Linked DNA regions of Macaca fascicularis. The protein of the gene in region 1 purifies or fractionates together with the protein of each later gene. This does not show direct contact. Links are inferred from orthologs where the notes say so. Each region holds a gene or a part of one and is shown on either strand. Other genes may lie near its edges.

Region 1 (15,758 bases):
AATGCAGAAGAAAAGAGTTTCTTATTCAATGACCTGAATAAACAGAAGTTCAAGACACTGCCACGGTCTGCATGTTGGATTTCCCTCTGCCACCCACCCCCATTAAGAGCTGAGAATCTTTGTGGCAACACCACCCCTCGCAGCCATTCAATACTTACAAAGAGAGAGAGAAGGAAGGCAGGAGAGCCCATTGGGACACTGTCCTGTTAGAGGACAAACAAACACTGATCAGGTTCCACAGAAACTCTCAGCCACAAGCACCCCAAACCTCAGGACAGAGACACAAGCACCACACACACAAGGACAAAATTTAAAAACTCAAGAACAAGAGGAAAGAGATCCAAAAGCAATCTGGCCATTACGCCTCTAGAACAGAAACTGCTGGTCCCCAACTGCTGCAGGCTAAGCCATTTCCCCCGCCTTGACAGCACTCTCCCAGAGGAATTAACAATTCCCCTACTCACGATTTCTTCCATGTGACTGGGTCTTTCGGTTACAACAGGCTTATTCAATGTTTAGATGGGTGCGAACAACCACCATTCTAAGATCTATGTGTCTGTATATTATTGGAATCTAGAAGCCCAACAGTACCAAGTAGTAACATAAGGTTCCTTGGATACTTCAGACTTCTACTACTGGAACACTGGCACACAGGTTCCTTCCTGGTCACCTCACCTTCTCTGAAGCATCCTGTTTGCGAGTAGAATCTCTCCCTCGAAGACTTTTAGCACTGATCCCAGACTCGGATGTTTGCATAATCAACTGCGTGGCCAAGAATTGCTGTAGGGAGAAGAAATAGGGTAGGCCATGGAGACCTGATTTAGTAGAGACAAATCAAGTACACTTTAAGCACTGTAAATAGAACTTTGTACAGTACTCTTCTGGCTCAAATATATTTTGACTGACTGGAAGTTTAGCCTATTAAGTTTTAATTCTAGTTGCAATAGGGATGCTAAGGGATGCTAAGAATCTTTTTTTGCTATAACATAGGATCAAATCTCTATCCTCCAGGAATGAGAAAAAGAATAAAACTGGAATGATCCAAAGATCATTCAGCAATTTAAGTAATTTGACAGATCGTGCGAAGATTTGCAACATTCTTCCAAGTTCAACACCCCAAAAAGTACCTGGTAATGCAATCACAGGATAAAAGTAGGGAAAAGGAAAGGAGAAACTCTTATTTGCTGAGCATCTACTATGTACCAGGTACTTGATGTAATTAAAAAATATGCATTCACCAGTTTTTAAAAAATTTATTTAAAAACTTTATGAAACTGCAATTAATTGCCCAAGAAAGGTAGAATATTGTATCACAACTCTTTCACCACACCACAGAAAATAAAAATAAATTCCGCAAGAACAAAATATTACGTTTTCAATGTGTCCCTGATAGCTATCCAAGTAAAAGCCACAGCAATCCTTCTTGGCATCAATATGAATCCTCCCCTTGAGTATTTTAATTTCATCCTTGCTGAAACACAAAAGATCCTCAAAGTACCTGGATCTGTTCCAAGACATCTCTCTGCATCTCCACTGCCATGTGATAGACATCATGGTCTGAGCTATTGTACATTACAGCATTCTGAAACATTAGCATAATGTCACGCTGAAATTCAGCTGTGCTTCGGATCAGTCCATTTTCTATGTTTTTCTTAATAGTTGACAAATCCATAGGCCTAAAAAAAAGAACAGGGGTAAGTGGCAGTGTGGGTGGGAAGAGGACTCATCTAGATCTCTGAATACATTATCATCATACAGACTTTCTCATATATACCTTAATTTGCAGCTGCCAGGACTTAAATGCTAACCCCTTACCCCGAAACATGCACTTAACCCATTTAACAATCTATATAATAAGCATTGAGAAAGGTAATAAAGGGAGTTTGTGTGTTTTTTTTTTTTTTTTTTGGAGACAGGGCCTGGCTCTGTCACTCAGGCTGTAGTGCAGTGGCACAATCATGGTTCATTGCAGCCTCGAACTTCCAGGCTCAAGCAATCCTTCCCACCTCAGCCTCCCAGGTAGTTGGGACTACAAATGCGCGACACCACACCTGGCTAAGTTTTGTATTTTTTATAGAGAGGGGGTTTCGCCATGTTGCCCAGGCTAGTTTTGAATTCCTGGGCTCAAGTGATTCACCCACCTCAGCACCCTCAAAGTGCTGGGATTACAGGCGTGAGCCACCACTCCCGGTGAGGATTTATTCTTTTAGACTATCAGTGGTGATCCAGCCACTGGAATCATCAGTTTAGTACTTAGTGCCCCTTATAGCAAAACCATAAATTTACTTGCTTTAAACTTTCTATCTAAAGCAAAACTTTCACTAAGACTGGACAACTTATAATTCAGGCAAGTTACCATGCTGAGTGGATCATGGCTCACCTCTGCACAATGCTGTGGTAGCCAGGTGCTATGTCATCTGTAACAGGCTGCAGGAAGACATTGGCATACCTGTCCAAAAGGAATAAGGTGCAATTACTGACATTCTCCAGAAGAACAGGGAGAGAACTTACTCTAAGTAGCTGAAGATAGTAAGAACCAATACCAGCAGTTCCACAGAAGCCTACTCAGACTTTTTTCCAGTCACCAACAATGAAGAGTAAGAGAAAATGAACCTACTGACTGATAAAGCCCACTCACCTATGATTAGCTGCAGCTCTCCATACAAGCATGATGGCTTTCTTCCAAATTTTCTGTGCCTGAATAGCTTCCTGATCCTCGCTACAGACAGAGCTGAAACAGAGATACAGCAATTTCACTAGGCACAAGTTAAAAAATATATATATATATATAAAAAATTATCTCTTTTTTTTAGAGACAGGGTCTCACTCTGTCCCCCAGGCTGGAGTGCAGTGGCGTGATCATGTTCACTGCACCCTCAACCTCCCAGACTCAATCCTCTCACCTCAGCCTCCCAAGTAGCTGGGACTGTAGGTGCATACCACCATGCCCAGCTAATTTTTTAATTTTTTTGTAGAGATAGGGTCTCACTGTGTTGCCCAGGCTGGTCTCGAAGTCCTGGGTTCCAGCGATCCTCCTGCCTTAGCCTCCTAAAGTGTTGGGATTACAGGTGTGAGCCACCATGCCCAGCCCTAATAATTTTTGTCAACTGTTTATTCCAGGCCAAAAAAGGGAAACACTAAAGAAAAGATCAGGCCAGGCATTGTGGCTCATGCCTCTAATTCTAGTGCTTTGGGATGTCAAGGCAAGAAGACTGCTTGAGGTCAGGAGTTCAAGACCAGACTGGACCACATAGGGAGATTCTGTCTCTTAAAAGAACATCTTTTAAAAACAAAAATTTAAAAATAAAGAAAAAGACCACGTATGGTGGCTCATGCCTGTAATCTCAGCACTTTGGGAGGCCGAGGCAACTGTTGAGCTCAGGAGTTTGAGAACAGCCTGGGTAAAATGGCAAAACTTGGTCTCTACTAAAAAAAATTTTTTTAATTAGTAGGGTGTGGTGGTGCAGGCCAGTAGTCCCAGCTACTAAGGAGGCTGAGGTGAAAGGATTGCTTGGGCCTGAGAAGTGGAGGTTGCAGTGAGCTGAGATCGCGCCACTGCCCTCCAGCATGGGTGAGTGAGAACAACAAAGGAAGGAAGGAAAGAAAGAAAGAAGGAGAGAAGAGAGGAGGGGAGGGGAGGGGAGGGGAGGGGAGGGGAGGGGAGGGGAGGGGAGGGGAGGGGAAGAAAAGATCCTCTCCTTCTCACCTTCACTGCCTTAGCCTCAAAGGAAGAATCTCAGATACTCACAACTGTGAAGAAGCAGGGCTGCTGGGGATGGAGTCTGCCAGCGTGTGTGACTGCAGTGTAGCATTGTGTATGCTGAAGCCATCATCACTCTCGCTCACAGGAGGTTCATTATCCATTTCTGACAAATAACCTTCTCCTTGATCCTCTTCCTTAGGCTCCTCTAGGCTGGCCGCTTCACTGACACCATCTTCCTCCTCATCCTCACCTGGGGCATCCTTAGACACAGTATGCTCCAGTCAATAAATGCAAGCAAAGCTATCCAGCAAAGCATCATTAAACATGCTCTGTCTTTTGGGTTAGAATTAGTTCTAGAAATGACCTCACGCTGTTTCCTGACTTAGCTGTCTATCACTTATACTACCATCTACTTAAAGACACTGACTTAAGTAATTTAGAACCTGGACAAAGAATAATACCCAGGATCTTTTAAAAAGAAAGAAAAAAAAAGCTACTTACTTAAGACTAAGCTAAGAGGCGTTCCTTCTTTCCCCTTGTTCAAGAGTAACTCTGACCCTGGATACAAAGTTATCAAAAATAATTTTTATTTTGTGTCTCATCTGATGGAGCAAGCTCACATCGCATTCTTTAAGTCTCTGTTACTACTGCTTTAATAATTCTAAAAAGAAAACTTTGGATGATTTTCTTTGGATAGTCTAATTAATAAACTGGATTCCTGTATGTTCTCCTTAGTTCTGGTATCCTTATTCACTCCAAATCACTCTAAGTGTATCAAGGCTTCTTAAGGACTGTGATATTCACAAGCTGTTTCATATGGGAGGCACCTGTTGCTACAGTACTCCCATTATGCCTGTCTACTGCAGCTTTTCCCCACGCAACTCCATACCAGTCTCTTATCAGAGAATAAAAATGCGACTTTACTGAAATTCATTAAAAAGTAGTGCTATAGGGAAATCTAATCACATGGCAAGAGGAATAAAGAAAAGTCTGAAATACCTTTATCTGGCTTCCAAAAATAGTCCCTGATTCTTCTTTCAATGAGTCTGCAGAGGAGAGAAAGACTACCTGAAGATTTTTCCACCTTAGCCTTCCCCTTCCTATGGACCATAATCCCCTGCAGCTCTCCTTTCCATGCTGACCTGTTCTACCTCCTCTACTTGCCCACAACCCACAATCCCTCAGAAGCCAAAGCAAATGATTTCAAGTTAGTTAAAGAGGACTTTATTTACCTGACATTTCGAACTTGTGCTGAGTCTCTGCTTCTAAAGGATCTTCAATGGGATTTGAGCCATGTGATGGAGACAACATGCTTTCAGGGGATGCCTGAAAACCAGAAAAGAAAAAACACCCTAAGTACTGGTAAATCACTATAGCTCACACAACTTTATTCTTCAATGATAATGAGACCATAGAAGAAATTCTAAGTCCTATTCATGTAATGTGACTCCAATGGTCACCTTAACAGGAATAAGTATATATAACACTAATCACAGCCTATGGGCTTTGGACCATCAAACATGTCAGAACTCAGGAATGCAACTGGAAAACCAAAAAACCTAAGCTATCACTTCTTACTTAAGGTATAACCCTCCATCTCCCCAGCCCCTGATCTTTATTAAGTACCTCTGTCTTCACATTTGTAAGTGGAGTCTCATCGCCTTTCCCAATGGCAACATCTGCTTCAACAATCTCTCCAGTTGCAGTACTTCCCGGTTCCTCATCTAAGTCCTGACTCCTGAGTTCTGGTGGCTCCATACTTGTGGCTGGAACAACTCCAGCTACTATTTCAGCCCCTGAAATGACTGATTCTGGTTCTGCAGGTTCCACCTTGATCTCTGCACTGGGCTCCCTGATGTCCACCAGTTCATGTATTCCCTTGTTTTCAGTTTCCTCAAAGTCCAGTCTCTCTTGCTTGACTGTCATTTCTGGTGCAGGGAGAGGTACTGGCTTGTCCCGCTCCTGCTGGATAGGATGCTCCCAGGGGCCAGGCAGGGATTGAGGATCATCATTTTCTTCACAAAATGACAGTGCTGCTTCCACTGCTGCCACATCCAGCACTTCAGGATGATCATCTACCTGTCCCACAAAACACAAGACTATTGAGGTCACAGAAAGAAGCTCAAGTCCCTCAATTTTTGTTAGCACCAAATGTGATGGCTTGAATCTGCAGCTTTTCTCTCCATTTTTTCCATGTAGTGGAGACAAACAATGAACAGGCACCTGTTCTGTGTAAACCAGTAACATAGATAGGCCTGGGGAGATGACTAGTATGTTAGCACCAAAGGGCTACAAAGATGGAGATAGGCAGAGTTAAGTAATTCTTACTGTAAGAAGTAAAGAGGCCAAGCACGGTGGCTCATGCCTGTAACCTCAGCACTTTGGGAGGCCGAGGTGGGTGGATCACTTGATGCCGGGAGCTTGAGACCAGCCTGGCCAACATGGCAAAACTCATCTCTACTAAAAATGCAAAAAATTAGTGAGGCGTGGTGGCACGTGCCTGTAGTCCCAGCTACTCAGGAGGTTGAGGCACAAGAATTACCTCTGGGAGGCAGAGGTAACAGTGAACCAACATCGTGCCACTGCACTTCAGCCTGGATGACAGAGCAAGACTTTGTCTCTTAAAAAAAAAAAAAAAAAAAACAGCAGCAGCAAAGTGAGGCTGAAGAGAGAAGCCTATGTAGGACCCATGAGATTCTCTGGGGCTTCACTGAATAGTTACCTTGTCCTCAATGATGGCAATGATGTCTCCAACAGTCTCAAAATCCAGCTCTTCACCTGTGTAAGACACAGCAATATCCATCTTCTCAGCCAGATCTAATTCTTCCTTCCCATCTATGCTGGGTGCCTTTGATCCAACAGGGGCCTCTGCTACCCCTGATCGAAAACACTCTTCTTTGATAGAATTAATGATCATGGAGATTTCACTGCTGTCCATGGAAACAGTCACAGTATGTGGATCCCCCACAGCCTCCATGGGAACACAGTTATCGGGCTGACTTACTGAATAATAGAAAGAGAAAAGCCATCTCAGAAGCTTATTGGGTACAAAGTGACCACCTTGAGATCACATCAGCGCTATAGACAGATGTCAAATATCCAAACACTTAAGATCAGAAAGTCATCATACATGTGCCTATGTTTTCTTCTCCCCAGTTTTATCTAGAAAGGTGAGAACATAATCTCAAGCCTGCTCACATTTGTACACTTAGCGTCTTCCTGCAATACATAAATGCCCACCCACCTCTTCTCACATCTAAGGATATTTATTTCTAAGGATAAAGATGGCACATGTCTATGTAGAACACAGAAGCAGCATCTGAATTGGAGCCGATGCTCTTGGTCATTTTTCTCTAACTGAAGCTCAAAATGAAATTTTAGACCTTGTGGCTGCTCAGGGACGCACCTGGAGCTACACTTTCAGTAGTGGAGACAGCCGGAGCAGAGGATGGTGCTGGCAGCGCAGGCATCATGACAATGGTAGCTTGGGACACAGACTCTACAGGGGGTGGCACAAGTTTAACTGGAGGCTCACTGGCAACAGTAGTGAAGGAAGCAAGAGGTGTGGTGAACTGTGTAGGACCAGCTTCTAAAAGCCGGGAAAGAGTGGGAGCACCTAACATATAAAGAGGTACACAAAATGAAGTAAGAAGAAAGCACATAAACAAGAAGCAATAGCTACTTGAAGACTCAACTAAGAAAATTCTTTTGGTCTCAAAGGATGAGAGCAACTCCTGCACTGAGTAAGTTCATCATCTATATCCTTACCCTCTCTAACCTTACTTAAGATCTTCCTCCAAGTTAGGAATGAACCAAAGCACTAGAACACACAACATATATAAAAAATGGGTGGTGAGGCCAGATGCAGTGGCTCACGCCTGTAATGCAAGCACTTTGGGAAGCTAAGGCAGGTGGGTCACTTGCGGTCAAGAGGTTGAGACCAGCATGGGCAACATAGTAAAACCCTGCCTCTACTAAAAATACAAAAATACAAAAAAAAAATTAGCCAGGTGTGGTGGCGGGCGCTGTAATCCCAGCTACTCAGGAGGCTGAGGGAGGAGAACTGCTTGAACCCTTGAACCAGGGAGGTGGAGATTGCAGGGAGCCAAGATCATGCCACCGCACTCCAGGTTGGGCGACAGAGCAAGGCTCTGTCTCCAAAAAAAAAAAAAAAAAGGTGGTAATTCTTCCTCAGAGGAAAATTAATCATCAAGAAACAAAAAACTGGTATGAATAAATCTGTCACTTCTGCTGAAGTTCAGCATATTGTAAAACCACCCAAGTTTAACACCATTCAAATACCAATAAGGTTTGTATGGTATTCTATGGAGCTTTTTTTCCTTCCCTGCTTTATACTTTCTACCTCATTAAATTCTCATCACATCCTTGTGAAGTATATATGTTACAATAAAAAAGGAAACTGAGGCTCAAAAGCTAAGTTACCTATCCAAGGTCACAAAACCAATGTGTGGCAGGCCTTATTCCACTATTCTATAATCTTAGGTATCTCTAGCACCTTGATTTTGCAAGCTCTAAGAAAGCAGCTCAATATTACTCTCAATATCCATGCAGTGGTCAATCAGGGCTATCAGTATCTTGAAGACAGATGGCTTTATAATATGGAGACTACATTGTTTACCAGGTAAAGTAGCTCCAAAAAAAAGTTAGAAAAAGTTGGGCTTTAAATCTAGGACTGACAACTGCTTAGTAACAAACAGTGAAACTGAGTCAATGTCAAGTTCAACACCTCTGAGGTTGTAAAGGAAAAGTGGTAACTTACCTGACGCAGCAGGGGAGGCTGCAACAGTATTGGGTGTTTGCTGTATCTCCCCACCATGTATCATGGGAAGGACCCCGCCTACCTCCAGGAGGACACCTGTACTGTTCAGGTGGCCAGAAGCCACAGCCATTTCACTCTCATTGACCTACCAGGGAAGAATAGAGGTGAAGGCTACACTCAAGCTTTCCTTTACTACCATTTCCCAACAAAGCTCCAGCAGTTGATCAAACTTCATGAGAACTAATAGTTAATATCCACGGAGAATAATTTAAGACTCAAGGGAAACTCTAAACTATAATGTTCAAAACTTATCTGACAAGAGTTCTCTGGAGAAGAGAACCAAAATAATTGTGATTCAGATACCTCAGGACCCATGGGTACTATCAACTTACTGTATTTTTTAAAAATTAACATTTAATTAGGAGATCTTTTCCTCTTTTGAACTTTTATTCCCCATGTCACATTTTAGGTCCCAGGCACTCCCTTCCAAGTACTAAATCACCACAGCTCTCAAACACCCACAGAAGTCTCCATACCAGTCTGGGGCTAGTAGGCAGGAGGCTGCCCTTCTTCAAGAGCTCTGACAGCAGAGGGGAGGGGGGTGGAGTTGCTTTCTGTCCAAGCATCTTTTTCTGGGGTGAATCATCTGTTACTGGGGTCATGGGGGCTTCTAAGGGTGCAGAGCCTGGAGGAAGGGTGTCAGGAATCCCAGGAAACGAGGTGACTGGGGTACTCGGCAAAGTCCCGGGGGTTACCTAAGAGACAACAGAGAACCTTTATCTGACTTCTCAAACTATGGAAGGTTCCCTACTAATCTGTATGGGTTAGTGTGTCTAACTATTATTTTATTAGTCCTGAGTGGAACTGCCCAGAAACCCTCTATCCCTCCTGCTTTTAGCCATACGTTTCTTCCCCACAATCTTCTCCTTCATCCACTCAAACCCACAATGACTCAACCATCCCACCCAACCTGCCTTTTATGAACTCCAATATTACATTTACAAGGATTTTGTCCCTTATTTCGCAGGAATTTCATAAGACTAGTATGAAACAATTCCTTAAAATAGTTTTTTACCTATCTCTCAGAAAGGTCAAAAGCCTCAATGCTTTTAGGTCCGGTCTTATCTCAGAGCACAGAACAGGGTAAATTAAGTCTTTAGCATTCAGATCAAGAGAGGAAGCTGCCTCTAGGCCAAAAGTGGTTTCCTCATCACTCAGCTCTGCCGGCTTATTGCCCCTTCACTTATCAATTCCCACAGAAGGAAATATACTCACCCCAGAGGTAGCCTCTTCCATAGTGGTTGGAGTCAAGTCCCCAAGTGGATAATCACCTCCTGGGGAGGCAGAATCTATAGGAGAGCGAACCATCACAGTGGGTAACCTCCGGGGGGGTGTTTTTACTGCTTGACGAGCTAGAACATAAAAAAGAACAATGTCCAAATCTTCAAGATTAAATAAATGACACTTGACACTATTCTACTATTATACAATAAAGGACAAATAGGAATGCTGCATTAGTAAAGCAACACAATGAGTCTGAATTAGAAAGCTTTAACACTTCTGGAGATGGATAACTTTTTAGCATAATTTTTCCTAAGGGCAATTTTCACACTAAGCAATCTCCTTTAACAATCTCAAACTACTTAATTATCCCAAAGGTCCTTGGAGTGGGAAAGTAGTTTAAACACCCTTTAAAATTCTCTTTAGCAACTTATTAATATTCTGCTTTTAAGAACAGGGAGGCTGGGTACGGCGGCTCACGGCCATAATCCCAGCACTTTGGGAGGCCAAGGCAGGTGGATCACCTGAGGTCAGGAGTTTGAGGCCAGCCTGCAAAACCCTATCTCTACTAAAAATACAAAAATTAGCCAGGCGTGGTGGCAGGCACCTGTAATGCCAGCTACGCGGGAGGCTGAAGCAGGAGAATCGCTTCAACCTGGGAGGCGGAGGTTGCAGTGACCCAAGATCACACCACTGCACTCCAGCCTGCACAGCAAGAGCAAAACTCAGCCTGGGGGAAAAACAAAAACAAAAACAGGCAAAGACCTCACTGGCTCACAGCATGTATTCCTAGAGTTGTAAATACTTAAATTTTTCCCCTCATCCAATGACTGAGCTATTCTCAATCTTTTCACAGGCCCTTGACTTCTAAAACATTATGTTGAATATCTTCTTATCAAGCCTTTGTGTCCTAAAGTTAATTTAAGGTCTAGTGAGATCTGAAAACAACTCATATTCTATGAGTTTCTTCTTAGACATTAAGGGATGTTTTTATTCTGGTAGAAGAGAAAACTGCAAGTAAATTTAAATCAATGGATTCTATGTTACAAAATAGTCCAACTGTCATTAGCATGCAGTACTGTGCAATTAATTGCTAAACAGCTATACTAGGTCCAGCTTACCCTGATATGCAGCATCTGTAGCCTTCCTCTTTACTTCAGCCTCCTCTTCTTCCAATTTCTTTTTCCTAAACAGGGAATTAACGGTTGGATGCTAGACAGCTCTGGCTCCTCCCCAGAGTTCACAGAACCCTTACAAAGAAATTTTTTTGCCAGGCCAGCACTTTCTGGAAGAAAGGCCTAATCAGGAATTCTAACCAGCAAAACAGGGAACTGGAGTATAGTGCCTAACTCACAGTTCTTCACCTAGGTAAACTATAGCCACTTTAAAGTTAGAACTAAGTTATGTTTTCATACTGAAATGTTCCATCACATTACCTTCTAGGACTCACTCCCCACTCCCAGCCACCAAGCCACTCTGCGCTTTCCCCTTCCAGAATCTGTCTGAAGTCTAAATGAATGGCAGTTGTAGGAAATAAGCCAGATTACTTGAGTAGAAAAGAGGGTAAAAAGAAAGAGGCACAGAAGAACAATATAATATAACCCACATTGCAATGTCATTGCAAAGCTCATCCAGTCTGCTGTCCATGTGTCCAGCTTGAATTAGTTCTGCATCTCTTTTTAGCCGTCTATAGGAAGAAAGAGAGGTAGGTAGACTAGGTTTTTTAATCTGCTATTTAAAAAGTTCCAACCAGTACCAGAAGACAGCCCCTATGTCTTTCTCAATCTTTTGGCATTCTCTTTGATAAGTACCTATATCTCTCCTGAGTTTCCTTTATCACTTTCTTTAGTTCCTCAACTCTCTCAGCAGTCAGTTTCCGAACAATGACATCTTCAACAGTTTCCACCACTTCTCCCTTTTCACCTCGTTTCCGTCTGTGGAAAATTGGAAAAAAAAAAAAAAAATTCATATTCGAGTAAGAGAACATTTATCCCCTCTCCTACTTGCTTTTACCACTTTTATATCACCCAGTATTATAAGTAAGTATAAACCAGAATTCCTCAGTAAATACTCTCCACTAAAGAAATTTGGCTGAAGTACCTGGCTTTGTACTCACTTTGGTGTCTCAGTGGTCTCTAAAAGCTCCGAGTATTGGGAAGCACAATGCTATAAAAAAAGTGAAAATATGATGAGCAAGCCTGGAAAGAAATGACCTTTCAAAGTTTCAAGAGATTAGAGTAAGATTTAGAGAAGAGAACTATATGTAAGATGGGAGTGGTTTACTAGGAGGGCAAGTAACTTTATAATCAAATCAGTTCAAAATAATCAAAACAAGACACAGAAAAAGGGCGTCTTATGGACTGGAGTTTGTGCATTTGGGGAAAGGCAACCTAACTGCCAATATTTATAGCTAATATCTACTAAGTAGTTACCACATGCAAGGCACTGTGTTAAATGTTTTACATGTATTACCTGAATTAACTTCACAACAAACCTGAAGCAACTCTTATCTCTATTTTACAAATGAAAAAACAGAGGATCATGGCCCAAAGTTTTTAGATGCAGTAATAATGAACCCAGATCTAATTCCCAAGCTTGGGCTCTTAACTGTTATGCAACACCAATAAGAAAGGTCTAATATGATCATACATGGATGGATTAGCAAACAGTAGGAAAAAGAAAAAGGTGTATTCTCAACTATTTTTCCACATCATGGTATAAAAGCTTTGTAATTAAAAGTCAGGGCCTGGTAGAGAACCTACTTTACAACCCAAAGACTGCTCTAAAAGAGCACTTGCTTGGGAACTTACTTTTTGAGAGAACCAGTCTGGAGGGCGGCCAGGTTCTGCAAAGGGCTTGATTGCTCTGCTAACTGATACCCTACAAAATGAGGAAAGCTTTATTACACATCAAGCAGTAAATAATAGGAGAGGTGTGCTGAAAGTGTAAGGCCTGGAGTTCAAACTTTGGAATAAAAAAGATGCCAATGGCCAGGCGCGGTAGCTCACGCCTGTCATCCCAGCACTTTGGGAGGCCAAGATGGGTGGATCACAAGGTCAGGAGATCGAGACCATCCTGGCCAACATGGTGAAACCCCATCTCTACTAAAAATACAAAAATTAGTTGGGCATGGTGGCAAGCACCTGCAGTCCCAGCTACTCAGGAGGCTGAGGCAGGAGAATCTCTTGAACACGGGGGGGCGGAGGTCACAGTGAGCCAAGATCTCGCCACTGCACTCCAGCCTAGGGACAGAGTGAGACTCTGTCTCAAAAAGAAGGAGGAAAAAAAAAAAAAAAAAGATGCCAATGAATGCGAGGTGTGCAATGGGCCGTGCGTATAATCCCAGCACTCTGGCAGGCAGAGGTGAGAGGATAGCTTGAGCCCAGGAGTTCAAGCCACCCAAGGAGACCCCATCTCTACAAAAAAAAAAAAAAAAATTGACAAGGTGTGGTGGTGCGTACCTGCAGCCTGTGGTCTCAGTTACTTGGGCAGCTGAGGTGGGAGGATCCCTTGAGCCCAGAAGAGGCTGCAGTGAGCCCAATTCATGCCACTGCACTCCAGCCTGGGTGACAGAGTGAGACCACCCCCTCTGCCATTCAAAAAAAAGAACAGCATGTATAGTATATAATCATTTGTGTTAAAAAATGACGGGGATGAGGAGGAAAAAGAAAGTATTTATTTGCTCACATAAAATTAATGCTGGAGAGACACAAGAAACTGCTAACACCAGTAGATGGGGGACAATAATGCGAGCAAGCCATTGCATATAATTTTGAACCTTATGACTTAGAATCTGCTGATAAAATAATAAAATTTAAAAATTTTTACTAAAGTATTCTTACACTATTTTTCTATGACTGGGCGTGGTGACTCAGGCCTGTAATCACAACGCTTCAGGAGGTTGAGGAGGGCAGATTGCTTGAGATGAGGAGCTTGAGACCAGCCTGGCCAACATGGTGAAACCCCATCTCTACTAAAAATACAAAAATTAGCCAGGCATGGTGGCGTGCACCTTTAATCACAGCTACTCGGGAGGCTGAGCTAGGACAATCGCTTAAATCCAGGAGGTGGAGGTTGCAGTGAGCTGAGATTGTGCCACTGCATTCCAACCTGGCTGACACAGCAAGACTCCATCTCAAAAAACAAAACAAAAAAAAGGATTCTTAACACTATCTAATAAAAATGTGAGGAAATATACAGATTAAATTCTATTTTAAACCAGTTTACCTATTTTGTTTAAAAATGAGCTTAGTTTATATATATACACATATATGTATATATGTACACATGTACACACATCTGTGTATATATACACACACACATGCATATGTATATACATACATACACGTAACACACAAATATATGTGATGTGTATACACACACGCACACACACACAAACACACACTGTTTTTGTTTAGACAGTATCTCACTTTGTCACCCAGACTTCATGGCACAATCATGGCTCACTATAGCTTCCACCTCTGAGGCTTAGGCAACCTCCTACTGCAGCCCCACCCAAGTAGCTGAAATCACAGATGCACCATCATGCCTGGCTAATTTTCTTTTTTGTAGGGAACAGGGTCTCTCATGTTGCCTCCCTGGCTCAAGCCATCCTCACATCTCAGCTTCCCGAGTAGCTGGAACTATAGGCACACACCACCAAACCGAGCTAATATTTTTATGTTTTTTGGAGAGACACAGTTTTGTCATATTGCCCAGACTGGTCTCCAATTCATCATCTCAAGCGACCTGCCCGCCTTGGCCTCCCAAAGTTCTGGGATTACAGATGTGAGCCACTGCACCCAGCCCCATTCTATTCTCTAGTTCTATGAGGTCTGTAATTTTTCCTAGATTCTACATGTAACTGAGATCATATGGTATTTATGTGTCCAGCTTATTTCACTTTACATACTATCCTCCAGGCTCAACCATGGAATCACAAATGGAGGATTTAATTCTTTTTTATGGCTCAACAGTATTCCACTGTGTATATAAATATATATGTATGTGTATGTGTGTATGTGTGTGTGTGTGTGTGTATATCTCGTATTTTCTTTACCTGTTCATCTGTTAACGGATACTATAATAATTACCTTAATTGTGGATAGTTTCACAGATGTATATATATTTCAAAAGTACCGTATCTTATGCTTTAAATATGTGCAGTGGCCAGGTGTGGTAGCTCATGCCTGTAATCCTAGCACTTTGGGAAGCCAAGGCAGGTGGATCATCTGAAGTCAGGAGTTCAAGACCAGCCTGGCCAACATGGCAAAACCCCATCTCTACCAAAAAATACAAAAATTAGCCAGGCATGCTGGCGTAGGCCTGTAGTCCCAGGTACTCGGGAGGCTGAGGTGGCAGAATCACTTGAACCTGGGAGGCAGAGGTTCCAGTGAGCCAAGATTGCGCCACTGCACTCCAGCCTGGGCAACAGAGTGAGACTCCACCCCCCCCCGCCCAAAAAAAGGTAGAGTTTACTGCACATCAATTATATCACAAAAAAGTTGTTAAAAGGGAAGGGATGTGACCTTTCTTACCAACCCCCTTCCTTCTTGTTGCATGGATCAAGGATGTGATAGCTGAAGGTCAAGCAGCCACCGTGAACCAGAAGATAACCAGAAGATAAACTATGTGCTGAGGAAGGTGGCACAGAAAGAGAAGATCCTGAGCCTCTAATGTCACTGTGAAGTTGCTATGAGAGCTGTTGACTGCCTAGACTTCCTGTATGTGTGACAAAAAATAAACTCAAGTTTTTAACCCATTTCTTTGTTGCGGTTGCTCTTTTTATATAGTGTTTTTGTTTTTATGGTGGCCACGTATTACTTCAGAAATTAGATTTAAAAAACAAACAAGGCCAGGCGTGGTGGCTCACGCCTGTAATCCCAGCACTTTGGGAAGCTGAGGCGGGTGGATTACCTGAGGTCGGGAGCTCAAGACCAGCCTGACCAACATGGAGAAACCCCATCTCTACTAAAAATACAAAATTAGCCAGGC
Region 2 (16,213 bases), on another chromosome or scaffold:
GTATCCAGACCATGTCCCTTCAAGGAGGTCTATCTCAGGCGAAAGTCACCATTGAAGTCTGGCAGGCAATAAACAGTGCTTCCTTGGGAGGCCCGTGGGTGAGCCGGGCAAGGGACAATGGCCATCAGGGGCTATCAGTGCTCTCTGGTGCTGGGCAGACGGTCTATTGTTAGTGACCCTAGAAGAGTCCCTCTGACTCCTGCCAAAGTTGAGAGCAATTGGAAAGACTTCACCCTTAAAGAGGATATCCACTAATCTGGTCCCTGCTCGCAGCTAGCTTTAAAAAAAAAAAAAAAAAGTAGGTGAAAACTACTGCCATGTTCCAGTGCTTACAGCGAGGGGAAAATACAATTTTCTTTACACCAATTAAATATATTAAATGAAAGGCACTTTTAAAAAATACACACATAATGAATTTCTGACATCTATGGTTTCCCATCTACAGATTCTAAATAAAGAACACTTTTCAATTTAATATGTTAGCCAGGTCAACATGGAAACAAAATGTGTATCTACAATCCAGCAGGTATTTCTTTGTATGCAGGACACGTCTGCACTGTTAAGATCTAAAGGCAGGGGTAAGAATGGGGTGGAGAAATATAAGGAAATGTGGAGTATGTATGATTCTTGCCCTAGAAGCAAAAACTAGAAAAGGAAGATTTTTAAGGAATTCAGAAACAATGCTCTACAATACCAGGCCTCTGGCTTCTCAACAGTCCCAGGGAAGCCCCTCATCAAGTGTCACCAGCCTGTACCAGCCTTAAGGCGTCCTCATTGTCATATACAGGAAGAATTGGGTTTTCTCAAAACAGCTGTCAGTTTGTATTTCCAGAACTGTCAACGTAGGAGATATCTCTGAAATATATGAACGCTAAAGAAAACCATTTTCTGAAGAATATGGAGGTTTCTGTCAACCCAGTTACATGCAGAGTTTTGGTGTCTGTACATTTCGGTCACATGTCAGAAAATGTGTATACCAAATGAAAACAATTAGAAGCTTGTGAAACTTATGAGACAGGATGTTCAACAGTGATGTTTTCTGAAGGATGATCTGACTGTTTACAGGTGAGAAGAGGCTTATGCAAAAACCAGTGAAGACAGAGTTTTGGAGACTGCCATGAAGTTTCAGATTTCGGGTTCCCTTATCCTGCCTATGGTGTGTGTGGGTGTGTGTGCGTGTGTGTGTGTGTGTGTGTATGCACATGCATTTAAAATTTCTCCTAGCACTACACCTGGGGGCTTCTCGGGAACCCTGGGAGTAACAGTGAGATCTTGCCGCCAAGCCACAGGGTGCAGGCAGAGAACAGGGCAGACAGCAACAAGCCTTTCATTCATTCATTTGTTCATTCAGTCATTCCTTCTCCCCACAGGAAGTGTTCTCAAGGGAATGCACCCACAGGCCCAAGGCACAGTGCCTCTTTCTAGTCCTGGATTTTTTCAAATAAATTCAGGCCACAAGGAAAGGCCATGTTGGAGGCCGCTGGCTTTAACACCACTTTCCCAGTCCACTGTGGCAAATGCCTCTGCCAGGGTATAAAGTGCCTCTGGCCACACAAAAGAGAACGTGGCCAGAGGCTGCAATACTACCGCTAGATTGTTGAGGGGTCTCCTATTTCCCGTTGTCAGTCCTTCCCAGGAAGAACCCAATGATGTCACACAGTTATAAAATGCCCAAAACAATACCACAAATAGGTGGATACAACCCATGTTAATCTCGAAGGTAGACTTTAACAGTAGGATTACATATTTATTTAGCAGATACACAAATGGCAAGAAACTACATGACGTAGACAACTTATTATTGTAGATAAATACTTCACATATATTATCTCACTTAATCCTCATTAACCACTCCGTGAGATGGGTGCTGCTACTATCCTCATTTTACAGAGGAGGCACAGTACGGTTAATTTGTCCCTGGTCATACGGCTGACAAGTGGCAGACATGTGTGTTCAACCCCAAGCAGTCTGGGTTCACTATGCCACTGCTCAGATGACCTTCATGTGGAGTTCAGTTACTTTCTAAAGGAGGAAACACAGACCAATCGTGTGAGGGGAGGTGAGGAGGGGACTGTCGAGTTCTTCACCTAATTGGCAACTGGCATAGGCTCAGCTTTGCATACCTGTCTGGAATTCAAATCTCCAAATCATACAAACCAGCCACGAAAGCTTAGGCAATTATAAACTGTTCCTTAGTTTGCTCACCTAAAAGTGGGAGTAATAAGGGCCAATGACAGACTGTATGACTTATCTATTTAGTACACTGTGGTGCTCCTTTGAGAAGATAATGCAAATATTTACTAAATCATCTTAGGAGCTAAATTCTATATTTTTGATAGTAAGTGGCCTGATTTTTCTTTCCGGAAACTTTGACCTTTATTAATTAGATGGTTTATAAATCTATACTATGAAATGAAGCACTATAGCTTTATTACCTGGGTTTTGGAGATGAGGAAACTAACAAGTAGAGACTCACAACAAGAAACCTGTTGATATTTGGAGTTAAGAACCAAGTTATAGCTAATGCAAGCCATTCTTGGTCAGTGAGACTCTGCCCCTTAACTGGGCCCTTGCAGGGAAATCTCTTTCAATAGCAAAGCTGAGAGTCCTAACATCTGAGGAGAGTTCTGAATGACCTGCTAGTCTGGTACTATCACACGAATAACTGAATTGGGTCAGATTCCTGTGTTTCTATTCAAGTGGTGCAGTCCTGCCTTGGGGCCTGTGCACTGCTGGCTCCCGGAATGTCCTCACGGCTAACTCTCACACCTCCTTCGAGGTTTTGTCTCCCATATCAGCCTCTCGGCAAGGCCCACCCTGACCAATCTATTTAAAATTCCAATACCTTCTCCTCCCAACCCTCCAGACCCTGCTCTAGTTTTTCTCTTTTCTGTATCATTAACCACCTCCCAACATACTGTATATCACATACTTCAATTGTTTATTGTCCGGCCCCCTACCCTAGAATATAAACTTCCTAGAGTGGTATCTTCATTTGGTAAACCAAAAAATATCAAGTGCTCATAACTTTGCCTGGCATAAAGCAGGGACTCAATATATTATTACATAAATAAATTCAAAATGCAGAGGTACTTCTAAAAATGCACCAAATAAATAAGAATGATTCAACAGTTGTGTTTCTGAGACGAAAAGTCATACGATTTCACAGCACTGGGATGCAGGATTGCAGCAGGCATTTCATGGGCCTGGGGCATGACCTTCAGTGCTAAATTTAGTGCTTCTGGTGTTTCTAAGATTCCCGGTTACCAGTTTAACTTCATCTATCTAGGATGTTCATACCAAGAGTGTTTCTACAAACTCAAATACCTACTCAAAATAAGAAGCAAGCAAATCCGGACCTGCTTTTCCCACCTCCATGTAACAGACCCAGACCTATGAATGAATTGATAACAAAATTGATGGAGAAGCACTTCACAGTTGCAGGGCTATGGGATTTCTAGGCAATTTAAATTTAAGTGGGAATGGGGGACAGTTTTAGCTAGGATATTCAGTGTGTACACTGAGACAGGTACTCCAGTACTGAACCAGCAGTGAAATGCAAGAAAGAAAACAGGAATACCAGTACAGCACCCTTCCAGGAGGGAAAAGAGCTAAAACAGTGGATGGTGAAAATCACACTTCCCTTGGTGCCAAAGCCCCAAATCCTTGTTCATTATGGGGAGAGGAAAATAGTTAAAAACAAAAGTTAAGCATACACGTATAAGATAACAGAGAGTTATTCTCAACTTAATGTGCTTAATTAATCCAAACTAAACATAATACTTTGATAATGAAAAATACAGGCCTTGAAAAATCTGCCAAGCAAGAAACACACCACATTCCCATAAATGTTCATTTTATCGCTGTTTAAGGGTTTTTACTAGCGGCTAAAGGTAATAACCCAGATAGGCCCCCAAAATGGAACGCTCGCCTAAGCATATCTCTAATACTCATGGTTGCTAAATAACAAGACTGCTTAACAAATTAAAAGCAAAATAACACATCTCTTATTTTTTTCCTGAATCTTTTTAATGTAACCACTCACCAACAGATATGAAATCAGTAAGTCAATCATTAAAAATAACAGTCTCCAAACTCTTATAGATTGAATTACAAACGATAAATACCACATAACAATACCAGTCTAGAACTTTCACTAAATGCTTTATATTTTCACCCATGTCTCTTCATCAAAAGTGTATTATGACACTATCTACGAATCGGGATATTTTTATTCTTTCTTAAGATCAATTCTTACTTCTTTCTGCATATAGGGCTGCCTTTGATAGTAAAGGGCCTCTCCCCAGCAGAGGTGTATAATAGTTTGAGCCTCTTCATCCTGGGAATTGCAAGTGTTCATTCATTTTAACATTTGCTTTTCATAAAGTTTGCTGGTTCAAACTATTTTCAACTGTGTTAGCCCTGCGACACAGTTCGCCTAGGTCACTGCTATTGCTGTAAACTTAATTTTTTCATATTTTCACTATTAAAAGGACAACACTAGCCTTCTGGGAATGAGATAGCATTACTTCAAAGTTGAGTTTTAGAAAATGTATCGAACTCTTAACCTTCTTAAAAAAATGTGTGCAAAATATTAGGACAATTTCTACACTTAAAAAAACCTCATGACTCACCAAGTTTTAGACCATCTCATACAAACTCCTCAAGAAGGATAACTGTCTTTAACACATCTTAATAAATAGAATTTATACTGTCTTTTAACCAGCTTGTCTAAGTAGGCAGGCAATGGGGTAAAATTATTACTCAGCTTACATAAATTACAGTTTATTCTGAAATAACTGTTAGCGAGAATGAATGGGATATGCAATGACAGCCTTCCTTAAGTCAAGAGATATTATTTATTTATATTACTTATATCATACATATGAATTTATAGCATTATTTATATTTCTTATTTTTTACTTATTATTGGGAGTAAGGGGAAGAACTTAAACTAGTAACATTTCTACCAGAACTTCACAGTACTGGTGTTTTCGCTTTATTTTAAACTAGCCATCATGAAAAATCTGATTTAATACTTTAAAGCACTTTCAGTAATGACTATTCAATCATGATATGAATCAGCAAATTTCTTGCTCCATTAAACTGCTTTTAAGACTACCAAAACTTGCCCAGCTCTTCTGTCACACCTTTAGCAGAGGAAATGGAAGAAGCTATTACAAGGACACCTGAAAACTTGAAAAGTTTCAAAACGTGGACAATTACTCAACAGAATTTTCTTCTGAAAGACATTTTGTAGACGTTTCCCATGATTATCTCCTATTCCGGATGGCCCATCAAATCACATTCTAAACAGGCATTCAACACTTATTAAGCACCCACTGTGTGCAGAGACAGCACTATACTAAGCAAAGGAGCATAGGGTTCTGCCTCATTTTATTCCTGCATAAATACACAGCGGTCGTGATTTATTCTCTCAACTTTGTAGAAACGTGAGCTGCATCCACATGGCTGAATCCATGGCATTCATTTGGACTTCCTGGGGGCAATTTACAGGTTCTCTGGATTAGACAGCCCCATTGGGACACCGCTCGGACCCTTCACCTTCCAGCCCACGCAGGACAATTCGCTGGCGTCGACCACACCTTCCGCAGGTGGTTGGACCGCCTGAGCCAGATGCACCCGGCCCACCTCCCTTAGCAGCGGTTCCGAATAGAAGTGTGAAAATGTGTGCAAGGACTTCTGCAAATCAGAGGATTTGTTGAAAGGTCCAGGGGTCCAGGCGTGAAGGGAAAGTAGCCACCCCGCGGGGCGCCCTCTCCCCGGCGTCCCCCGGGCCCGGGGCACTGCGCAGGCCGCCGCCGGTCCCAGGGTGCAGCCAGCGCACCTCGGGCCTAGCACCATTAGAAAGGCAAATCGCAGAGCCGGGGTGCATTTAAATCCCCGGCCATGGGCCCGGGGGGTGGGGTGACTCTCCAGCGGACGCTGCCGCAAGGGCCTCCAGGGCGCGTCGACCCCGGGGCGCTGGGCGCGGCCCGCGGGCGCACCCAAGACCTCAGCCCGCAGCGCCCGGGCGTCCGCGCCAGGCCGGGGCACGGGAGGGCACCCAGAGCCCCCGGGCCCGCGTCCCCGGCCCCGCCCGGGTCGCTCGGCCGCCTCCCAGAGAGAGGGCAAGCGCCCGGGCCCCCGCCCGCGGCCGCCGGCCCCGGCCCCCTCCCGATGCACCACACCTAGCAACCGGCGCTGACAGGACGCAGTGGCGGCGGCGGCGGCGGCGGGAGGAGGAAGCGGAATGGCTGCCGCGGTGGAGCCACCCCCGCCCCCCCGCTCCACCTCCCAGCGGCTGCAGCCGCCGCCGAGCCCTGACAGCTCGAGCCGGGGCGGAAGCGCCCGGCGGCGTGCAGCGCCCGCCCCCCGCTGCCCTCAGCGCCTCGGGCTGCTCCGACCACCCGGGCCAACTAACTCCGCGCCCCTGCCCAGCGCCCAGCGCCCGCCGCCCGCCGCGCCCTCCGCCCCGCGCCCCGCGAGCCGGCGCTCGGCCCCGCCGCCGCACCCCCCGCCGGCCCGCCGCGGCGCTCCCCGCTCCCACCACTTCGCAGCCCGCGTGCACGCCCCTGAGTCCCCCAGCCGCCAGCCCGCCCGCCCGCGGCACCTCGGGGCGCCCGCCCCCTCCCCCACCCCAGACCGCTCCCCGCCCCCCCCGGCACCTCGCGTCCCCGCATCCCGCCACCCCCACCTCGGGGCTCGCACGCGCCCTCCCCGGCCCACTGCCTCCCTCCCTGCGGGCCACCCCTGGCCATTCCGGGGCTCCCCGCCCAGGCAGGAGTTTCCGCGCGCCTGGCACCTCCGCCCACCCCCGGGCCATTTACCGATGTGGTTGTCCTCGATGTGCTCGATGAGGTCGGCCAGGGTGGGGAAGTGGAGTCCGCAGCCCCCGAATCGGCAGGTATTGGAGAAGAAGGAGGCGGCGGCGATGCCTGTCATGGTGCTACATCGAGAGCCCCCCTGGTGTCGGCTCTGCGAGCGCCGGGCGGGCGAGGGAGGGAGGGAGGCCGGGTGGGGTGAGGAGAGGAGGGGCTGGGGGAGGGGGAGAGAGGCGGGGTGAGGGGAGCGGCGAGGACGGGACGGAGGGAGAGGGGGCGAGAGAGATGGAAGGAGAGCAAGGAGCCACCGGGAGGCAGAGGGGAGGCGGCGGCTGCGGCGGCGGCGTCGGGAGCGGCGCGGGGAGGGCGGGGGCGGGGGCGGGGGGGAGGCCGCCGCAGCTGGGAGGAGGGACCAGGGCGCGCGGCTACAGCTGTGCGGCCCCAACCTCAGCGCCCGGACCCAGGCCTCACCTGCGAGCCCTGCCACCAACTTTATCTCGCTAGGCCTGCCCTTTACAGCTTGCGATCCGTGCCATCTGTTTGGAGCCTCCTTGGTTATGTATATGACGTTCTTAATGCACCCACATGGATTAATTACACCTACCTTCCTGCGAGGAGAACTCAGGGAGTTACCCTGGCCCCTCTCGGGGACATTTTTTTGTACTCAGCCACCTGTCTAGGTGTGACACATTCACAGGGGACCCGGGAAAGGTAATTGTGTGCACCTTCTTCTTTAAACCTTCTTTAGAAAAAGTCTGCATTCTCCGGAGGTTTGTACTAATTGATTTTAATGAAGCTTCCCTCTAGGCCAGAAGAAAATCTTAGCTTTATTTAAATTTCAAAATAGAGTGCTTGGTTGTCAAGTGCATTTGCCTGTGTTTTACATATGTACCACGTTTTTTATACTCCCTGCTCCTTCTAGGAAAACAAAAGCTAAAATAATTTAATCACCCGAAATTACAGCACCCCACTGCACCCACTCCACCATCTCAGGTGTGGTAATTAACCCAACCTCGTTTCAGCCACGGCAGAAAGGACGGTGCATTGGTTAAGGCTAGAAGGAATGGAAACAACGGCGAGGGAAATGGTGACTCTTATTTAAAAAGGAAGCGATTTCATCCTGTGAGCATTTAAACCATAATGTTGACCAGGTAACCACTTAAGTTGAATTTAGTAGCTTCCCTGAAAACCAGCATTTTGCTGATTATCAATTACTTTCTGGTCCCCACCCCCTCCTCCAGTTGCAGTCATATTTCTGCTGTAAAGTGTCTATTTGCCATAGCAGTTTTCAGGTGCCTAAGAAATACTACACATTATCAGCAGTTTATGACCCAACAGTACATTTTTTATTAATATTAATATGTGCATACTGAATTTAGTATTTTTCCTTACCGCAAATTTCACTTACCCTCTGGTGCAGATAAATGGAGAAATAGTATTCCTCCCTCCATAAACTCTATGCATCCCTATCTAGTGTTATTTCTAATAATGGGATTGTTTGCTTTTCATGCAAGTTCTTAGAGTAAAGGTACATGTAATATGTCTGTTGCTACAGGAAGTTTTATGATCTGACCATCACGGGTATCATTTTCTCTTCTCATCTCTTCTGTCTTGCAGCTTACAAGGTGACAAACTTTTGCTGAGATGAGATTTGGCTTGGGTGGGGCTGGGGCAGCTGTGTCTTGAAGTTCAGTTTGGTGCCAAGAATGGTTTCGTGGTCCCAATGAGGGAGGGGGCAGGGCCCTGGTGGGCCTGATAATGAGCCAGGGACCCAGTTGGCAGGGGACTGAGGCCAAGGCCAGACAAGGGTCTAAAGAGCAGGAGTTAGAATTCTAGATCTTGAATTAGAATTTTGGCAGCTGTGCAGTACATTCAGCTGCCCAATCTGGGAAGGCCTTCAACTGAGAGCAGGCAGAATATCTGGCAGGCACACATCACACCGAATGACATGGAAATGCAATACAAAAACTTCAGCCAAAAATGGTGCCAAAACAGCTACTCTTAGAGATGAGTGTGAGGCACCCCCACTGTGCAGCATCTGGGAGCCCCAATAGCTTTCAAGAAGTAGCAATTCTGTCCTCCGGAGGAAAAATTGTCTATATGGAGTTATTAACTCCCAAGAGTGTGGAGAGGTGGTTCAGGCAACAAAGTTCCAAGATGGAAAGTGCCGGAAATGTGCAGGTGAAAGATGAAGGAAGTAAGGGGCCTGGGTTTCACTAATGCATGGCTTTCTACTACCTCCTGTCAGTTTCACTATTCCTAAAATAAAACCTTGCTAGACCAAATTGAAAAAATAGATTTTTTTTTTAAATGAAGTGAGCTAAAATAACTTCCGAAGTAAATCAAGATTTTGATTTTTAAGACAAAATTATTTTCTCTACCTTGGATAATTATTACTATTTTATAAGGAATCAGTTCATTTTGCCTGAAAATAATCCACCCTACTACTTCTTCATATATGACTGAAGCTTTGTTTATGTGTCATTCTGCTTATACTAGTTTTTAAAAATCTGTATACTCTAGGCATTTCTGGTCTTTGTATAAGATACATGATTATGATCTCTTAGATCTGGAAGATGCTCTGGCTGTCAGAACCACTGGTTTTGTAAATGTGGTAAACTGACGCCAGGGGCATCAAGCAAGTTCTCCCAGGTGCACACAGTTTTTTCTCTGTACTCGTGGTGCATTTAGAAGGCATTGATAAACAATAGAAGGACAAATATATAGATAGTAACCACATGCAAAGTTTTTAAAAAATTGCTAATAGCATGCTTACCTTTCTGTACTTACATTTTTAAAGTGTTTGTTTCAAGGATACTCCTTTAGATAAAGTCAACATCTAAGCTACAAAAATATATAAAACAAACAATTCAACTTATTGCATCCGAGAGAGAAGGTGATGACTGACATACCTCTGTACTTGCAAAAAACATTTATCTGTCTGATTTGGGAAGTAAAAATATTTGAAAGGAGAGGGACAGTGAGGGAACTGAGAAGTCAGAATGATATGACAGTGGCTGTAGACAAGAAGCATTCTCTGGGTTTAAGAGCCTTCCTTGAAAACATGTGTCTCTCCCCAGAGCCTAGTGCCTCCCAATGTGTAGGCACAAAGTATGGATGTGCAGTGGCCCCACAGTGTGGTACTTAGCATTACAAATGGTTTGAGATCCCATAACAGTCTCTCCAAATCCAGCATGTCCAGTGCCCTCGAGATGGGGCAGCTGCTGGAAGATGTGAATCCACTGGTCTAATGGAGCCAACTGAAGACACTGAGGATCCTGCTTCATACAGCTGTCTGTCCTCCACATGCAGGAATTGGTTTATTTTGGCATACACTGATAATCAAAACCGTGCACTTCCTGTGTCCTGTGTGGACATCTGTTAACGATGCAAGAGGATCTATATGAACATTAGATTCTATCTTGAATCTAACTCTATACTGCCTTCAACTCTAGCTTTCTCTGGCTTTTTAGATTGTTTTCCAGGTCCCTCTTGAGGTGCTATTCAGGTTTACTAGATATTTCTTCTGTTGTCACCACTGTGTCGAATGAGCAGATCATGAATCTCGGTCTTCTTCAGCTCATGCAAGTCTGTGGACACTTACAATGTCTGATGTTCCCCGGCTCTTGAATACTAAGGCTGCCACTTCCACCAACAGCAACCTTGGGCTCAATGGCATGCCTTCTTTAGGCTCCATCTTCTTCTAAGGAGGATGATGTCTATTCCAGGTTTTATTGTTTAATATTTATGCAACCAAGTTCTCTGTATTGATTTTATTCCAGCTCAGAAATGAATCAGCTTTATCTGCTCTCTGCTGATTAATTTTCATTTTGTCCCCCAGTCTCATTTTGCCTAGGATTAAGAGCTAGCCTTAGAATGAGTAATGGGGGTATTCTCGTTAGTTGCCACCAGCGACCTCATGAGTGTTAGCCCCTAGCTCGCCACCTGGCTCCTCCTGCCTACTGACTGTATACGTAGTTATGGCATTTATTTCCAGTTCCTTTTAGGACTTTTCCAGAACTAAAATAGTAAAACACACCACCAATCACTGCAGTTCTAATTGAGCGTCTTGGATGCATTCCCCTACGTTATGTGCTACACTGCTATCCAGATGATAACTCCAAACCCAAATCTGATGGGAGCCACTGCTGCTCAGGCCAGCCCAACCTGAGATTTAGAATAATGTTAACAAAAGCAGCTAAGCAATTACTATTTCATTTTTGCCTTTAACCTATCTTGATTGAACATCTATGCAAGGCTCCTGTTACACAACTCCAGAAAGCTCTATTTATATAGGCAACTGCATGAACAGTGACCCTGGGATCTGTGCAGCCTTGCAGTGCTGTTCCACCATGCAAGATATGAGGGATACAATTTGAATGAGACAAGCCCAGTCTGTCCTCACATGAGAGAGCACTAGGTGCTTTGCAAGGTCCTCCTCAATCTATTCTAAGGGTCTGCTAGGGGTGGCTTGGTTGGACTCCGTGTACTACCCTCTTGGCTGCTCTAGTATCTATTATTTCCCTTCTTTCCAGCTTTGGCTCACTCAGATGATAACTTCAGTTGCTGCTGACTGTATTGGAGGCACTAAGGCCACTAATGCTTGTAAAAGACTGCACAACCGTTTTTGCCCAAAGATGTGTTTTTAGGCATCACTGATTCTCACACAGCAATGCACAGTCTTGAGGATTTCTATAACTTCAAAGGCTACTAGCACCTTTTTTGTTGTAGCTTTTTGAGGTTTTACCAGCTCACACTATTGCAGTCCGTTTCCTCTAGGACTCAGACAAGTATCAATGGAGATTGGACTAGAAGATCAAATTGGGAATACTACTCCATGATCTCATCTCCCCTGCTAGAATGTCTTAGTGGTAACTTTCACTACCAGAATAAGCTTCCTACTTTTCAATGACCAAAATTGATCTCTGCAGAAAAATTTGATCCCAGCCTTACCTCCTACAGTTTTCCCACGCGTACTGACAGTTCAAGATGTACCAAATCATTTTCGTTTTCTTTCTTCTTCTTCTTTTTTTTTTTTTGAGATAAGATCTTACTCTGTTGCCCAGGCTGGAGTACAGTGGCACGATCACGGCTCACTGCAGCCTCAACTTCCTGGATTCAAGCAATCCTCCCACTTCGGCCTCCTGAGTAGCTGGGATTACAGGTGCATGCCACCATGCCCAGCAAATTTTTTGTATTTTTTGTAGAGATGGAGTTTCGCCATTTGCCCAGGCCAGTCTCAAATTCTGGGCTCAAGCGATCCACCCGCCTTGGCCTCCCAAAGTACTGGGATTACAGGCGTGAGCCACTGCATGCTGCCATTTTAGTTTTCAAAATGCATTCACTTGTTCACACAAAAGCCACCTTGCCTTTCTTTGCAAATGTTGTGTAGCCTGCCTGGAACATTCTTTTTCCCTCTTCCCCATTCCCTCCCCCGAATATACTGCAGCAATTCAGCATGTAATCTCCTCCAGGAAGCCTTCCCTATAACTGCCTCCTCTTCCTTCCCTGCTGAGCTGGATGCCTATCATCTGTGTTCTAGCCAAATTCCCTCTGCATCAGATTCTGACTGCTGGCTTACTGGTCTTCCATCTCCTGTGTACCAGTAGTTCTCAAACCTTTTGATCAAGAATCCACTTGATCTCATTAATATTTATATTTATTTATAAATTATATACAGGAGCTACTTTTCACATATCGTATGTATATTATAGGCTAGACACAGTGACTCACGCCTGTAATCCCAACACTTTGGGAGGCTGAGGTGGGAGGACATTAGAAGCCAGGGGTTTGAGACTAGCCTGGTCAATATAGCAAGACCCTATGTCTGCAAAAAATTAAAAAATTAGTTGGGTATGGTGGTATACCCCTGTAATCCTGGCTATTCAGGAGGCTGAGGCAAGGGGGGAATAACTTGAACCCAGAAGTTCAAGGTTACACTGAGCTATGATCACACCTCTGCACTCCAGCCTGGGCTACAGAGCGAGATTCTCTCTCTAAACCAAAAACCAAATGTAGTATGTATATTATGAAATAAACTCTTTTTTAAACGTAGGAATAGAAGGCCTGGTATCTTCATACTATACTGCAGAGTATTGCCTGGCCCACATCCTGGGGTAAATGTATTCCTCCTTGGAGGCCTCTGCACTTGATGGTAGCCTCCTTGAGGAAAGAAACTTTTTTTTTTTTCTTTTTTCTGGAGTCTCACTCTGTTGCCCAGACTGGAGTGCAGTGGCACGATCTCAGCTCACCGCAACCTCCGCCTCCTGGGTTCAAGCAATTCTTCTGCCTCAGCCTCCCGAGTAGCTGAGACTACAGGCGCGTGCCATCATACCTCCCTAATTTTTTGTATTTTTAGTAGAGACGGGGTTTCACCGTGTTAGCCAGGATGGTCTCGATCTCCTGACTTCATGATCTGCCCACCTCAGCCTCCCAAAGAGAAACTATCTTTAGGCCTGCACTGCTCAATAAAAGTTGTGTGGAAGTATAGTTCAGCACTGTGATAAGGCAGTGTGCTAAGATTTCAGTTTTCAATGTTAAAGTTATTTCTAACAATTTGTTACTGTTCTTCTCTTATGTAGCATCAAGGAAAGAATCTTTAGTCTCTTAGCTTGGATAGATTACAAGTCATTCCTTCCTGTGATTGTGGATCCACTTTTGACGAGACCTCTTTCTAAGGTCTAGTGCAATGACTGTGCTGTGCCAATAACAGGCACTTACAAACTGCTTGTCTCATTTATTTTGATGATGCTGGTTTCCTAGTCTCTGCTGACGCAAAGCCATTCAACTGGACAGAGAGAAGCAGGGAGCCGTTCAGTCATGACATGAGATCTGACACTAGCTCTCCTTTTGTTAACTGACTAGGATATCTTTCCCTTTCACAGATGTTCAAATTCACTATAATGATTATTTTAAATAACTATTACTACATTCATTGAGTGCCCACTGTTGGACTTGATGCCTTAACACAGAGCAGTTCTTAAATCCTGTGAGGTAGACAAATGCTATGCCCAAACTATGGATGAGAAAAAACAAGACCCTGGGAAATGAGGTAACTTGCTGAGGTCCTTAAAGCTAATAAGTGCTGGAACTAGGATTTGAACTCAGCTCTGTCTGACTCCAGAGTCCTGGCACTTAACACTCTATCCATACTTGAATTTGTGGATTATAGAACACTTTTGTTCTCTCCCCTTGAATCTGGGGGCAGGCCCATGCTCACATAAATCACAGACACTGGGCTAGAGGGGCAAAAGCATCCTAGTTTGCCAAATGCGTTAGGTGAGGATACTGAGAATCAGGATGGGGATTTGATGATGGAGATGTCATGAGGCCTCCAGCAGGAACTGAAGCTCTTGGCTTGTCTTTTGCCCTCTCCTTCTCTATTGGGAGGTCCTCTCATTGCTGTTAGCAAGCTTGTTTCTGGTCTTAAATGCCTTATTTTAAAACTAAACTTTATAGAGATATCAGACTTTTAAAAGATACCCTCATGTTGCCCTTCACCCTGTTCCTGACAACCTCCACTCTGTGCCTTCCTGTTGGTGATTTTGGGGTGGAATAGGGAACACAGGCATCACCTATCATGAGGAAAGGTGACCCTTTTGTTTTCGTCATGCTCTTTGTCTTTGCTCCTGTTTTGTAAGGACTTAACTCATGTTGTCTTTCAGCCAATTGTTTGGCATAATTATATTTTCTGTTGCAATTTTAGTTCCGAGAGTCACAGAACAAACAGTCCCATTAAGCATCATCTCAAAGGGCTCTGCAGCTCAGTCCCTTCTTTTGCAGATCTGGACCAATGTGGAGGCTACTTTTGCCTTACAGAAAATGGACCCAGATTCCAGTCATTTCTCTAGGAAATGACTTTCCCCCTGGGTTTTATAACTCAATTTGCCTTTCTGTAATTTTCATCCCATTATGTGTTTGCCAAGATAAATGATTCTTTCTTCTCTGTATTGCCTTATATATGTAATGACTTTTCTTATTTATAAGGCCTCAAACTCAGAAACCTTAGAGTCAAACAGGATGCAATGAGAGAAGAGGTGTGTGAATGCACGTTTGTATTGTGTGAATGGTGGGGCAATGGTGACCTGGACGGAACTGTTCTTTTAAAACACTGGAAAGCAAACACATTCCACCTGCAGCCCACAGTTGGCCCATGAGCCTTCCAGTTTGCAATCTCTGTTTTTCTTTCCATGCCACAGTGCCCAAATTAGATTACTCTTATTGCCACAACAGCCCAAAAATATCCAGATTAATTATTTCTCATCACTGTGAGATGTAATCTAATTCTTGTTGTAAACAATTCAAGAAGGGTCCTTTGCACCTTAAACAGATCTTGAAGATAATATCTGAGCTGCCCAGGTAAACGGTCATATCAGAGGGAATAAATAATTGATAAGGACTGTCTTCCTGGTTTTAACATTTCTTGGTTTTCAGCATCTTTCTGTATTACCCAGTGCAGATCAAAGTCATAGGACATTTTCAACAAGCTGACGGTATAAATACTCCAAATTTATCTCTAAAGTGAGTGACGTAAAAGATAATGTTGTATAGCACCTGACCAGTCTTCATCTATAAAATAATTAACAAAACCCTTCAGTTGGTAGGTTTGGGCTGCCCAGTCTTTGAGTATTCCCTCTCCTGTGTCTGCAGCTCAAAGTCACATTGCTTGCAAGATATTCTCTTTAAAAATGTATATAGTAAACAAACATTTTAGATTACAGTCTTCAGGGTTAGAGCCAACTCATGATTCCAATTTCTCTCTCATTCGCCATTAACATTCTCACTCTCCCCTTCCCAATCCAGCGTCCCTCCCCTGCTACCTTTCCCTGCCTGTCCCCGACCCCCTGAAAATATGGTGACTTTTCAGGATTGATTCTTGCATGGGGCCTATGCATGGAGAGTGTTTGGTATCGTGTTTGAGAAAGTTGCACCAGAGAAGAGAATTCAAGAAAGAAACAGGAAAAAGGAAACTGGGAAAGAAAACTAAAAAAGGGCAGAAGCAAAGGTTGAGAGATCTTTTCTGTCTTCTCTCTCCTGTGCACCAAAGTCCTGCAGCAGAGGAATCCGCTCTTCAGATAATCCCTATACTCGGTCTCTTATTCTTATGAACCACAATCAAATTTGCCTCTTATCTTCCTTATTATGTACCCTGATCCAAAAGACTGATCAGAGGAAAGGTCTTCACGAAAGTTCAGTGTTGAAAAGACCTAGATCCTAATACCAACTCTTTTTTTTGACTTGCAGATCATTAACCTTGGGGAAGTCACTCAATCTCTCTGACACTTCCTTACCTACACACTGGATATAACAGTACAGATCCTATCCAACTTCTGGGGATGAAATGAAATGCTGCATGTGAAAACACACTGGAAACTATAAAATGCTAATCA

Evidence for each region.
Region 2: the proteins of BRD8 (region 1) and JAZF1 purify together in Homo sapiens (affinity purification with mass spectrometry; 3 studies listed by BioGRID and IntAct, with this or other methods). This does not show direct contact. The link is inferred for Macaca fascicularis from reciprocal best matches to the Homo sapiens genes BRD8 and JAZF1.

The regions. Positions count from the first base shown.
Region 1 is NC_088380.1:144,650,090-144,665,847, forward strand, and holds part of BRD8 (bromodomain-containing protein 8), read right to left. Parts: intron 13,354-15,758; coding exon 13,226-13,353; intron 12,645-13,225; coding exon 12,575-12,644; intron 11,931-12,574; coding exon 11,881-11,930; intron 11,699-11,880; coding exon 11,576-11,698; intron 11,452-11,575; coding exon 11,371-11,451; intron 10,951-11,370; coding exon 10,886-10,950; intron 9,896-10,885; coding exon 9,759-9,895; intron 9,239-9,758; coding exon 9,020-9,238; intron 8,629-9,019; coding exon 8,484-8,628; intron 7,320-8,483; coding exon 7,110-7,319; intron 6,707-7,109; coding exon 6,426-6,706; intron 5,783-6,425; coding exon 5,330-5,782; intron 5,030-5,329; coding exon 4,936-5,029; intron 4,750-4,935; coding exon 4,703-4,749; intron 3,964-4,702; coding exon 3,749-3,963; intron 2,732-3,748; coding exon 2,639-2,731; intron 2,450-2,638; coding exon 2,381-2,449; intron 1,677-2,380; coding exon 1,499-1,676; intron 781-1,498; coding exon 676-780; intron 204-675; coding exon 159-203; and 1 more. UniProt on the Homo sapiens protein: May act as a coactivator during transcriptional activation by hormone-activated nuclear receptors (NR). Isoform 2 stimulates transcriptional activation by AR/DHTR, ESR1/NR3A1, RXRA/NR2B1 and THRB/ERBA2.
Region 2 is NC_088377.1:102,081,793-102,098,005, reverse strand, and holds the start of JAZF1 (juxtaposed with another zinc finger protein 1), read right to left. Parts: upstream 7,164-16,213; 5' UTR 6,946-7,163; coding exon 6,831-6,945; intron 1-6,830. UniProt on the Homo sapiens protein: Acts as a transcriptional corepressor of orphan nuclear receptor NR2C2. Inhibits expression of the gluconeogenesis enzyme PCK2 through inhibition of NR2C2 activity.